2 linked regions of the Callithrix jacchus genome follow. The protein of the gene in region 1 binds, or shares a complex with, the protein of each later gene. Links are inferred from orthologs where the notes say so. Each region holds a gene or a part of one and is shown in the gene's direction. Other genes may lie near its edges. The genes, in order: ARHGEF7 and SHANK1.

Region 1 (4,306 bases):
ACAGGAGTCTCGGTGGGCAACCACTCCGGGGTTGACGTCCTTCTTTCCATGGGGACTCTAGGGACAAGGCTTGATGTAGCTGTGGATTGCTCTCCTGTTTCCTAGAAAGCTTACAGGGCAGCAGGAAGAAACGGGTTAGCTATGTCTTTACTGGTAGAGCTGAGCTTCGGGTGCCATCTCTGCCATGTGTTCGGCATCTGATCGGTAAAACGGGGACCATGATGGGAGGTGAGGCAGTAGACAGCTCTTCGTGAGGTTCCTGCTGGTTGCTGTTATCACGGAGAGCACATTGTCCTCGTAATCCAGAATTCATACTGCCACTTGAATAGTTTGTGTATTTGCAAAGAAAATTTTAAACACTTAACTCAAGGCTAGAAATAAATGCAGTTAGTTATTGCAAGAGAAAACCACCGGCAGAGGCAGAGGGAGACGACCTAAGCCTCTGATTATTTTTGGAAGCTTTATGTGCTTTCTGGCCTCTGCCACTGAATGGATTAATGGATGTGCCTGGCATAGAGTAAGCGCTTTGCTTGTTCAACTGCCCGCGGGTCGCAGCGAGCAAACTGGGGAGAGCGCTCAGGGGCAGTGGGTGGAGTGAGTGGAGACGCGCGTCCTTTTAAGAAAAGGCTCCATTTGTTCCTCGCGTGGAAATGTGTGCGTGTCATCAGGTGCTCGAGGAAGCTCGCGCATGACCCGACAGCTGCCGTCTGGGATCTCCAGGTTCGGCCTGGCGCGTTCACAGCGCGGTCTCCAGCCCTGCTCTTCCGTGACGCTGCGCCCCCCGACTCGCAGCCCTGACCGACCCGGCCCTTCGCACAGCCCTGCTTCAGGCCGCCCATTCTCCTTGACCTTCCCCCAGCAGGGTCTGAGGCGTCGCCGCCCGTTTCGAGCGGGGTCACGCAGGCCCCTTCCCGGCCTGGAAGGTCAGCGCCGCGCGCTGAGCGTCAGTCCCCGCTCAACCCCCGCTCCAAACCCCGCCGGCCGCAGATGTCATCCTCATCCGTGCTCCGCAGTGACCGGAGGGAGCGAAGGGAAACAAACCAACGTCTCGTTTTCAGCCTCTCCCCGCCACCGTGACACAAAACCGGCAAAAATAAAAAGAGCATTCTGGGAAGCACTTCATCATTTCAACGCTCACGAATTCAAAACATAAACAAAGGGCTCCCGGGGCCCCGGCCGGGGGCGCGGGGCGCGGGGCGCGCGGCGGGCCCGGGGCAGGTGAGCGCAGGTGCGCGCCCGCCCCCGCCCGGGGCCCCCGGCTCCTTCTCCCCGCGCCCTGCGCCCCACGCTCCGCTCCCCCTTCCCCGCCCGCTCCCCGCTGCCGCCGCCGCCGCCGCCCCGCGCACGGCCTGGAGCGGAGGCTGCGCAGGGCGCGGGGCGGCGCGGGCCGGGCGCGGGCCGGGCGGACGGCCGCGTCTTTCTTCTCCTGGCGGTGATGTCATTGGGCGACGGCGGCCGAGGCCGGGGGGCGGCGGCGGGCGCCCGCAGGTTCCTGAGCCGCTCCTGAGAAGGCGCCTGACCGTGGGCCGGGGCGCACGGAGGAGCGGGCCGGGCCGGGCCGGAGCTGCTGGGCCGCGCCGAGCCGATCGCCGGCGCCGGCCGCTCCATGGGCGAGGAGGCGGCGGCGGCGGCGGGGGCGGTGGGGGCCGCGGGCCGGGCAGCCGCTCCGAGGTGAAGCAGGCGCGCGCCCCTCCCCGCCCGCCCGCCTCCCGGGCCGCCGCGATGAATTCCGCGGAGCAGACCGTTACGTGGCTCATCACCCTGGGGGTGCTGGAGTCGCCCAAAAAAACCATCGCGGACCCGGAGGGCTTTCTGCAGGCGTCGCTGAAGGATGGGGTGGTCCTCTGCAGGCTGCTGGAGCGCCTGCTGCCCGGGACCATCGAGAAAGTAAGTCCTCGCCCGCGCCCCCCGGCCCGGCCCGCTGCGGCCCGGGATGCGCGCGGAGCACCTGGGGCCGGCCGCGCTCGGGGGACCGCGCGCCCTCCTTTGTGCGCGGAGCGGCGGCGCGGCCGGCGCCAGGACCGTGGCGGGAGCTCCGGGGGCGCCATTGTGAGCGGGGCTGGGTAGGGGGCGGGAGGAGGGGCGCGGGCGGTGGGGGTCCGAACGCCGAGTGGCCCCTCCGCGCTGGAGGTGGGCTCCGCTGCCTCGCCGCGGCCCGGTCGGAACCGCGTTCCGACGCCGTGCGGCTCTGTCCGCTGGCTTTGTGTGGACAGTTCTTGCCGGTGGCGTTGCGTGTTTCGCCTCCCGGTGAATGGACCGGTTGCTCTGCATTTTTAAAGATGCTCGCATCTGCGGCTGAGGGCTGCGCTGGGAAATGATGTACTTACTTTCCCCTGGAGAAAATTACCCCCATCCGAGAGGACGGCAGACACAGGGTTTAAGCCCCGGCACTCTGCAAGGCTTGTTTAAAATTTCAGATTTCGTTCTCAGGTCCCTCCCTGGTTCTGAATAGAACCCAGAGTCCTGCAGGCACTGCCTCTCCCTCCCCTCTGGTAGTTCCCAGACTGGAGCGTGTGAACCCTGACCCGAATTTCTGGAAGTGATTAAAGTTTGTTTTCATCGCCCACAAACCGGCCAGCAGGGCCCAGGAGACAGGAGAGCTTCTAAAAACGAGGTCTCCCTGTAGCTCAAAATACCAATCTTATTCCCAGGGTTTTTTTTTTTTTTTTTTTTTTGGAGGAGGGGAGGGTGGTGGGTGGCCAATACACAGCGTTCAGATCAACAATTATTTAAAATGTGTTAAATACAGAAACTGAAGAGTACCACAACTAGGAAGAACGACTTAAGTTTCTAAGTGGGGTGTATTGGCCCCCATACAGCATGACAACTTGTAAATAAAATGCCACCTAAGTGACTTGAAAAGTAAAATGTTTAATCTTATACACGTGCGCATGTTCTGCTGCTACATTTTAAATGAGGTCAGAAAACATTAAATGTGAATTTGGCTTACATTCCAGTTTTAGGTATTTTTCTTACTTGGCACATTTTTATGAAGACGGAATCTGCATATTAGAGTGTCCATGAAATAAAAACGTTCCTTTAAAATGAACCTGATGTCACAGTGACATGATGATTTAAGACAGGAGGACTAAGGAGCAGGATCTGACTTTCAAGGCATTCAAAATACTTTGTTGTTTGGAGACTGGTACCTCTGGTAATACAAGACAGATGTCGAAAAGTGTTGAAATACATGCTAAGTTCGCCAAAATAGGCTTGAATAAAATCCTGTATCATCTCTGAAAGCAAAGCTTTGAGAAACTTCATATGCCGTGTTGATAAAAACGTGTCGCCATCAAAGAATGTGGTGTTTGGCATATTAACTGCATTAATAGTGATTGACAGGCTTCAATAATCATTTTCTTCTGAATTCTAGAAAGATTTTCCTAGAAAACTGTAGCATTCATTTCAACTCTAAAACAACGGAGAGAGGAATGAATAAAATGTTGAGCTTGCAGAAGCCAACTTAAAACAACTCAACATATTCTAAAACTGCAGTCATTTGGAAATGTCTTAGGTCAAATATGTTTTTCATTCCCCCCCAAGCTCCAGTTGGTTTGTTTTAAACTGACTCTGTCACAGTGAAAGTTTAATGTAAAGCAGCATATTGTAGACACAGTTGCTGGTTCTCTGGAATTCAAAGGTAGGTTTTTGGAGCAAAATAGCCATTTCTGTCTCTAAGATCCCTGCGTTTCAGAAGTTTTGTGAGCTTTTTCCATTTCCCAGGAGAGTTATCTGGGTTTTTTCTTTCTTTCCTTTCTTTCTTTCTTTTTTAAATAGAGATGGGGTCTTGCTATGTTGGTCAGGCTGGTCTTGAACTCCTGGCCTCAAGCAATTGTGTCCCATTTTGGCCTCCCAAAATGCTGGGATTATAGCCATGAGCAGTCATGCCCAGCCAGTTATCTGGGTTTTTGATGTTTGCATGCTTACCAGATAATCTATGCCACAAAGCATACATGCTGAATAATTTTTACTTAAATGTGGGAGTGTGAATCTGAGGATGTTTTTCCTTAAAAAGAAGCATTTGGATACTTAACCAAATATTCATGTGGATGTGCAGGGCTTCACTTGACCTCTGCGGCAGGGGTGCACGGACAGCCAGTGAGCAGAAGGCAAGTGGCCTGCAGCCTTCGCCTCTGCAAGCTCATAAGCTGGCCTGAGCCACGAGGCTGGGGATGAGTGCCGGACTAAGAAACGGAGCTGGGCGCCTCGGCTTTCCCATATGGCTTTTATTAAGAAACCATGTCCTAAAGCGTTTCTTCCATTACACTCATTTGTTCTGTTTCAGAGTTAGGAAGAGGATGGAGGG
Region 2 (3,801 bases), on another chromosome or scaffold:
CTGCCAGCCCCGGGCCCCCGTGGCGAGCGGAAGGGGGCCCCCCTCGGAGGACGGGCCAGGGGTCCAGCCACCCAGCCCACGCCGGTCCGTGCCCCCCTCCCCGACCTCCCCGAGGGCCAGTGAAGAGAACGGGCTGCCCCTGCTGGTCCTGCCGCCTCCCGCCCCCTCGGTGGATGTGGAAGACGGCGAATTCCTCTTCGTGGAACCGCTGCCTCCGCCCCTGGAATTCTCCAACAGCTTCGAAAAGCCGGAGTCGCCCCTCACGCCTGGGCCTCCGCACCCGCTACCCGACCCACCTGCTCCGGCCACCCCGTTACCTCCCGTGCCGCCCCCGGCTGTCGCCGCAGCCCCTCCCACCCTGGACTCCACCGCATCCAGCCTGACATCCTATGACAGCGAGGTGGCCACCCTGACCCAGGGGGCCCCCGCCGCTCCTGGGGACCCCCCTCCACCAGGCCCACCTGCCCCAGCAGCACCGGCTCCCGCTGCCCCACAGCCCGGCCCAGATCCTCCGCCTGGCACGGATTCTGGCATCGAGGAAGTGGACAGTCGGAGCAGCAGTGACCATCCGCTGGAGACCATCAGCAGTGCCTCCACGCTGAGCAGCCTGTCTGCCGAAGGTGGTGGCAGCGCAGGGGGTGGGGGCGGGGGTGGGGCCGGTGTGGCCAGTGGGCCAGAGCTTTTGGACACCTATGTGGCCTACCTGGATGGCCAGGCCTTCGGGGGCAGCGGTCCTCCCGGCCCGCCATACCCTCCTCAGCTCATGACTCCCTCTAAGCTCCGCGGCCGGGCGCTAGGAGCTGCTGGAGGCCTGCGGCCTGGCCCCAGTGGGGGACTCCGAGACCCTGTCACTCCCACTAGCCCCACCGTCTCGGTGACAGGAGCTGGAACCGATGGGCTCCTGGCCCTGCGCGCTTGTTCAGGACCCTCCGCGGCCGGCGTGGCGGGGGGTCCGGTGGCTGTAGAGCCAGAAGTCCCACCGGTGCCCTTGCCCACGGCCTCCTCTCTGCCTCGGAAGCTGCTGCCCTGGGAGGAGGGCCCGGGCCCACCGCCACCACCTCTGCCCGGGCCCCTGGCCCAGCCTCAGGCCTCAGCTTTGGCCACAGTTAAAGCCAGCATCATCAGTGAACTCAGCTCCAAGCTTCAGCAGTTTGGGGGCTCCTCGGCAGCCGGAGGCGCTCTGCCCTGGGCCCGAGGAGGCAGCGGGGGAAGCACAGACAGTCACCACGGGGGAGCCAGCTACGTCCCTGAGAGGACTTCCTCCCTGCAGCGGCAGAGGTAAGCGGGGGATGGTGGCCAAGAAGGGAGGCCAGAGGGCTTGATTTCATGGGTACCAGAGTCCGCTTACCCCATGGCTGTGTCCCTTTAGGGTCTCAGGGTGGCAGAAAGGAAACAGAAGCCAGGCTGGTTGCTGTCACAGAAGCGCACCTTCAGATACTTTTTTTCTCTTTCCTTTTTTTATTTTTTTGAGACAGGGTCTCACTCTGTCACCTGGCTGGAGTGCAGTGGTATAATCATAGCTCACTTGCACCCTTAAACTCCTGGGCTCAAGCAATCCTCTGGGACTGCAGGTGCATGCCACCATGCCTGGCCAATTTTCTCTCTCTCTCTCTCTCTCTCTCTCTCTCTCTTTCTCTTTCTTCTTTCCCAAAGTTTCACTCTTGTTTCCCAGGCTGGAGTGCAATGGCACAATCTCTGCTCACTACAACCTCCACCTCCTGGGTTCAAGAGATTCTCTTGCCTCAGCCCCCCAAGTAGCTGGGATTACAGGCATGAGCCACCATGCCCAGCTAATTTTTGTAATTTTAGTAGAGACGGGGTTTCTCCATGTTGGTCAGGCTGGTCTCGAACTCCCAAGCTCAGGTGACCCACCCGCTTCAGCCTCCCAAAGTGCTGGGACTACAGGCATGAGCCACCACGCCTGGCTCTTTTTAATTTTTTTAGAGGCAGGGTCTCACTCTGTCACCTGGCTGGAGTGCAGTGATGTAATCATAGCTCACTTGCACCCTCAAACTCCTGGGCTCGAGCAGGCCTCTAGGACTACAGGTGCATGCCACCATGCCCCGTCAACTTTTCTTTTTTTTGGGGGGGGAGACAGAGTCTTGCTCTGTTGCCCAGGCTGGAGTGCAGTGGTGCAATCTCCTCTCACTGCAACCTCCACCTCCCAGGTGCAAATGATTCTAAAGCCCCAGCCTCCTGAGTAGCTGGGATTACAGGTGCCCACCACCATACCCAGCAAATTTTCGTATTTTAGTAGAGGCAGGGTTTTGTCATGTTGGCCAGGCTGGTCTTGAACTCCTGACCTCAAGGAATTTACCCCACCTTGATCTCCCAAAGTGCTGGGATTAGAGGCATGAGCCACTGCACCTGGCCATGGCCAATTTTTCTTAAATTTTTTGTAGAGACCAGCTATGTTGCCCAGGCTAGTTTCAAAGGAGTTTGAAAGCAATCCTCCTTTTTTGACCTCCCAAACTGTTGCAATTACGGATGTAAGCGACTGAGTCCAGCCTTTACATTTCCGTTTATCTCAGTAGCTTCCGCTGTGTCTTCCCATCACCATCACAACCTATATCCCATAATGAACAAAAAGTCATTAACAAAGGATACTGGAGCGAGACCTGCTTATGTTTGTTTCCTTGGTGAGCCGTCACTTCTTTCTGCCAGTCCCTGAAATCTGTGAGTCTCCTGAAGCCTGTGTGGTCCAAGACACGATGCAGTTGCAGGTGTGGCTCTAGAGCCCACCTTCTCGGCTTCCAGTCCCAGCCTCCCACTTTCTACCTGAGTGATCTTAGGCAAATGAATGCTAAGGCAAATTCTACCTCTCTGTAGAAGGCGGATGGCCTAGTGCCAGCCTCAAAGAGTTTCTGAGAGGATTTAATGTGGGCCATTGTTGTAACATGAGATGGGGCCTCTAACCAGAGCCCAGCAACTACTACATGGGGAAATACGGGATGAGGCCGAAGGTTCCCGGAGCAGCCAGTTAGCTACCTCGCCACAGAATTCCAGCCGATTCAAGACCTTCTAGTCCTAGAGAAAGTAGAGTTACATTTCTGATTCAGATACACAGAGGGTTGGGAGCAGTTCTTAAATCTCCTTGTCCATCTGCAGAGTTCACTCGTATTCTGTTTGAAGATCTGTTATCCTAATGTGTGTGACATTCAAATATGGGTTCAGGGAGTGTATATTTGGGGCAACTTCAATCTATGCTCCCAGGCTGTAAAAAAATAAAAGAAAAAGGAGACTGGGCACGCTGGCATGCATCTGTAGTCCCAGCTACTCAGGAGGCTGAGGTGAGCAGATCACTTGAGTCTGGGAGGTTGAGGCTGCAATGAGCTGATATCACACCAAGGCACTCCAGCCTGGGCAACAAAGTGAGACCCTGTCATAAAGAAAATCAAAGAAAGAAAGAAAAGAAAAAGTGAGTGTCTATTATCAGAGCAACTTGAATCAATGCTCCTAGGTTGTATAAAAATAAACAAATGTGGCCGGGTGTGGTGGCTCATGCCTATAATCCCAGCACTTTGGGAGGCCGAGGCGGGTGGATCATGAGGTCAAGAGATCGAGACCATCTGGTCAACAAGGTGAAACCCCGTCTCTACTAAAAATATAAAAATTAGCTGGGCATGGTGGTGTGCGCCTGTAGTCCCAGCTACTCGAGAGGCTGAGGCAGGAGAATTGTCTGAACCCAGGAGGCGGAGGTTGCGGTGAGCCGAGATCATGCCATTGCACTCCAGTCTGGGTAACAAGAGCGAAACTCCGTCTCAAAAAATAAAAAATATAAATAAAAAAATAAACAAATGT

What was found.
Region 2: the proteins of ARHGEF7 (region 1) and SHANK1 are in contact, whole or in part, in a crystal structure (PDB 3L4F), measured with the Rattus norvegicus proteins. The link is inferred for Callithrix jacchus from reciprocal best matches to the Homo sapiens genes ARHGEF7 and SHANK1. Residues at the interface, in XP_063131056.1 of Rattus norvegicus: Asp735, Ala737, Trp738, Asp739, Glu740, Thr741, Asn742, Leu743; in NP_113939.2 of Rattus norvegicus: Gly673, Phe674, Gly675, Phe676, Val677, Leu678, Arg679, Gly680, Ala681, Lys682, Phe696, Glu703, His735, Arg736, Val739, Ile742.

The regions. Positions count from the first base shown.
Region 1 is NC_133502.1:26,672,819-26,677,124, forward strand, and holds the start of ARHGEF7 (rho guanine nucleotide exchange factor 7), read left to right. Parts: upstream 1-1,356; 5' UTR 1,357-1,722; coding exon 1,723-1,887; intron 1,888-4,306. UniProt on the Homo sapiens protein: Acts as a RAC1 guanine nucleotide exchange factor (GEF) and can induce membrane ruffling. Functions in cell migration, attachment and cell spreading. Promotes targeting of RAC1 to focal adhesions. May function as a positive regulator of apoptosis.
Region 2 is NC_133523.1:44,306,056-44,309,856, reverse strand, and holds part of SHANK1 (SH3 and multiple ankyrin repeat domains protein 1), read left to right. Parts: coding exon 1-1,278; intron 1,279-1,369; coding exon of another isoform or gene 1,370-1,514; exon of another isoform or gene 1,515-1,775; intron 1,776-3,801. UniProt on the Homo sapiens protein: Seems to be an adapter protein in the postsynaptic density (PSD) of excitatory synapses that interconnects receptors of the postsynaptic membrane including NMDA-type and metabotropic glutamate receptors via complexes with GKAP/PSD-95 and Homer, respectively, and the actin-based cytoskeleton.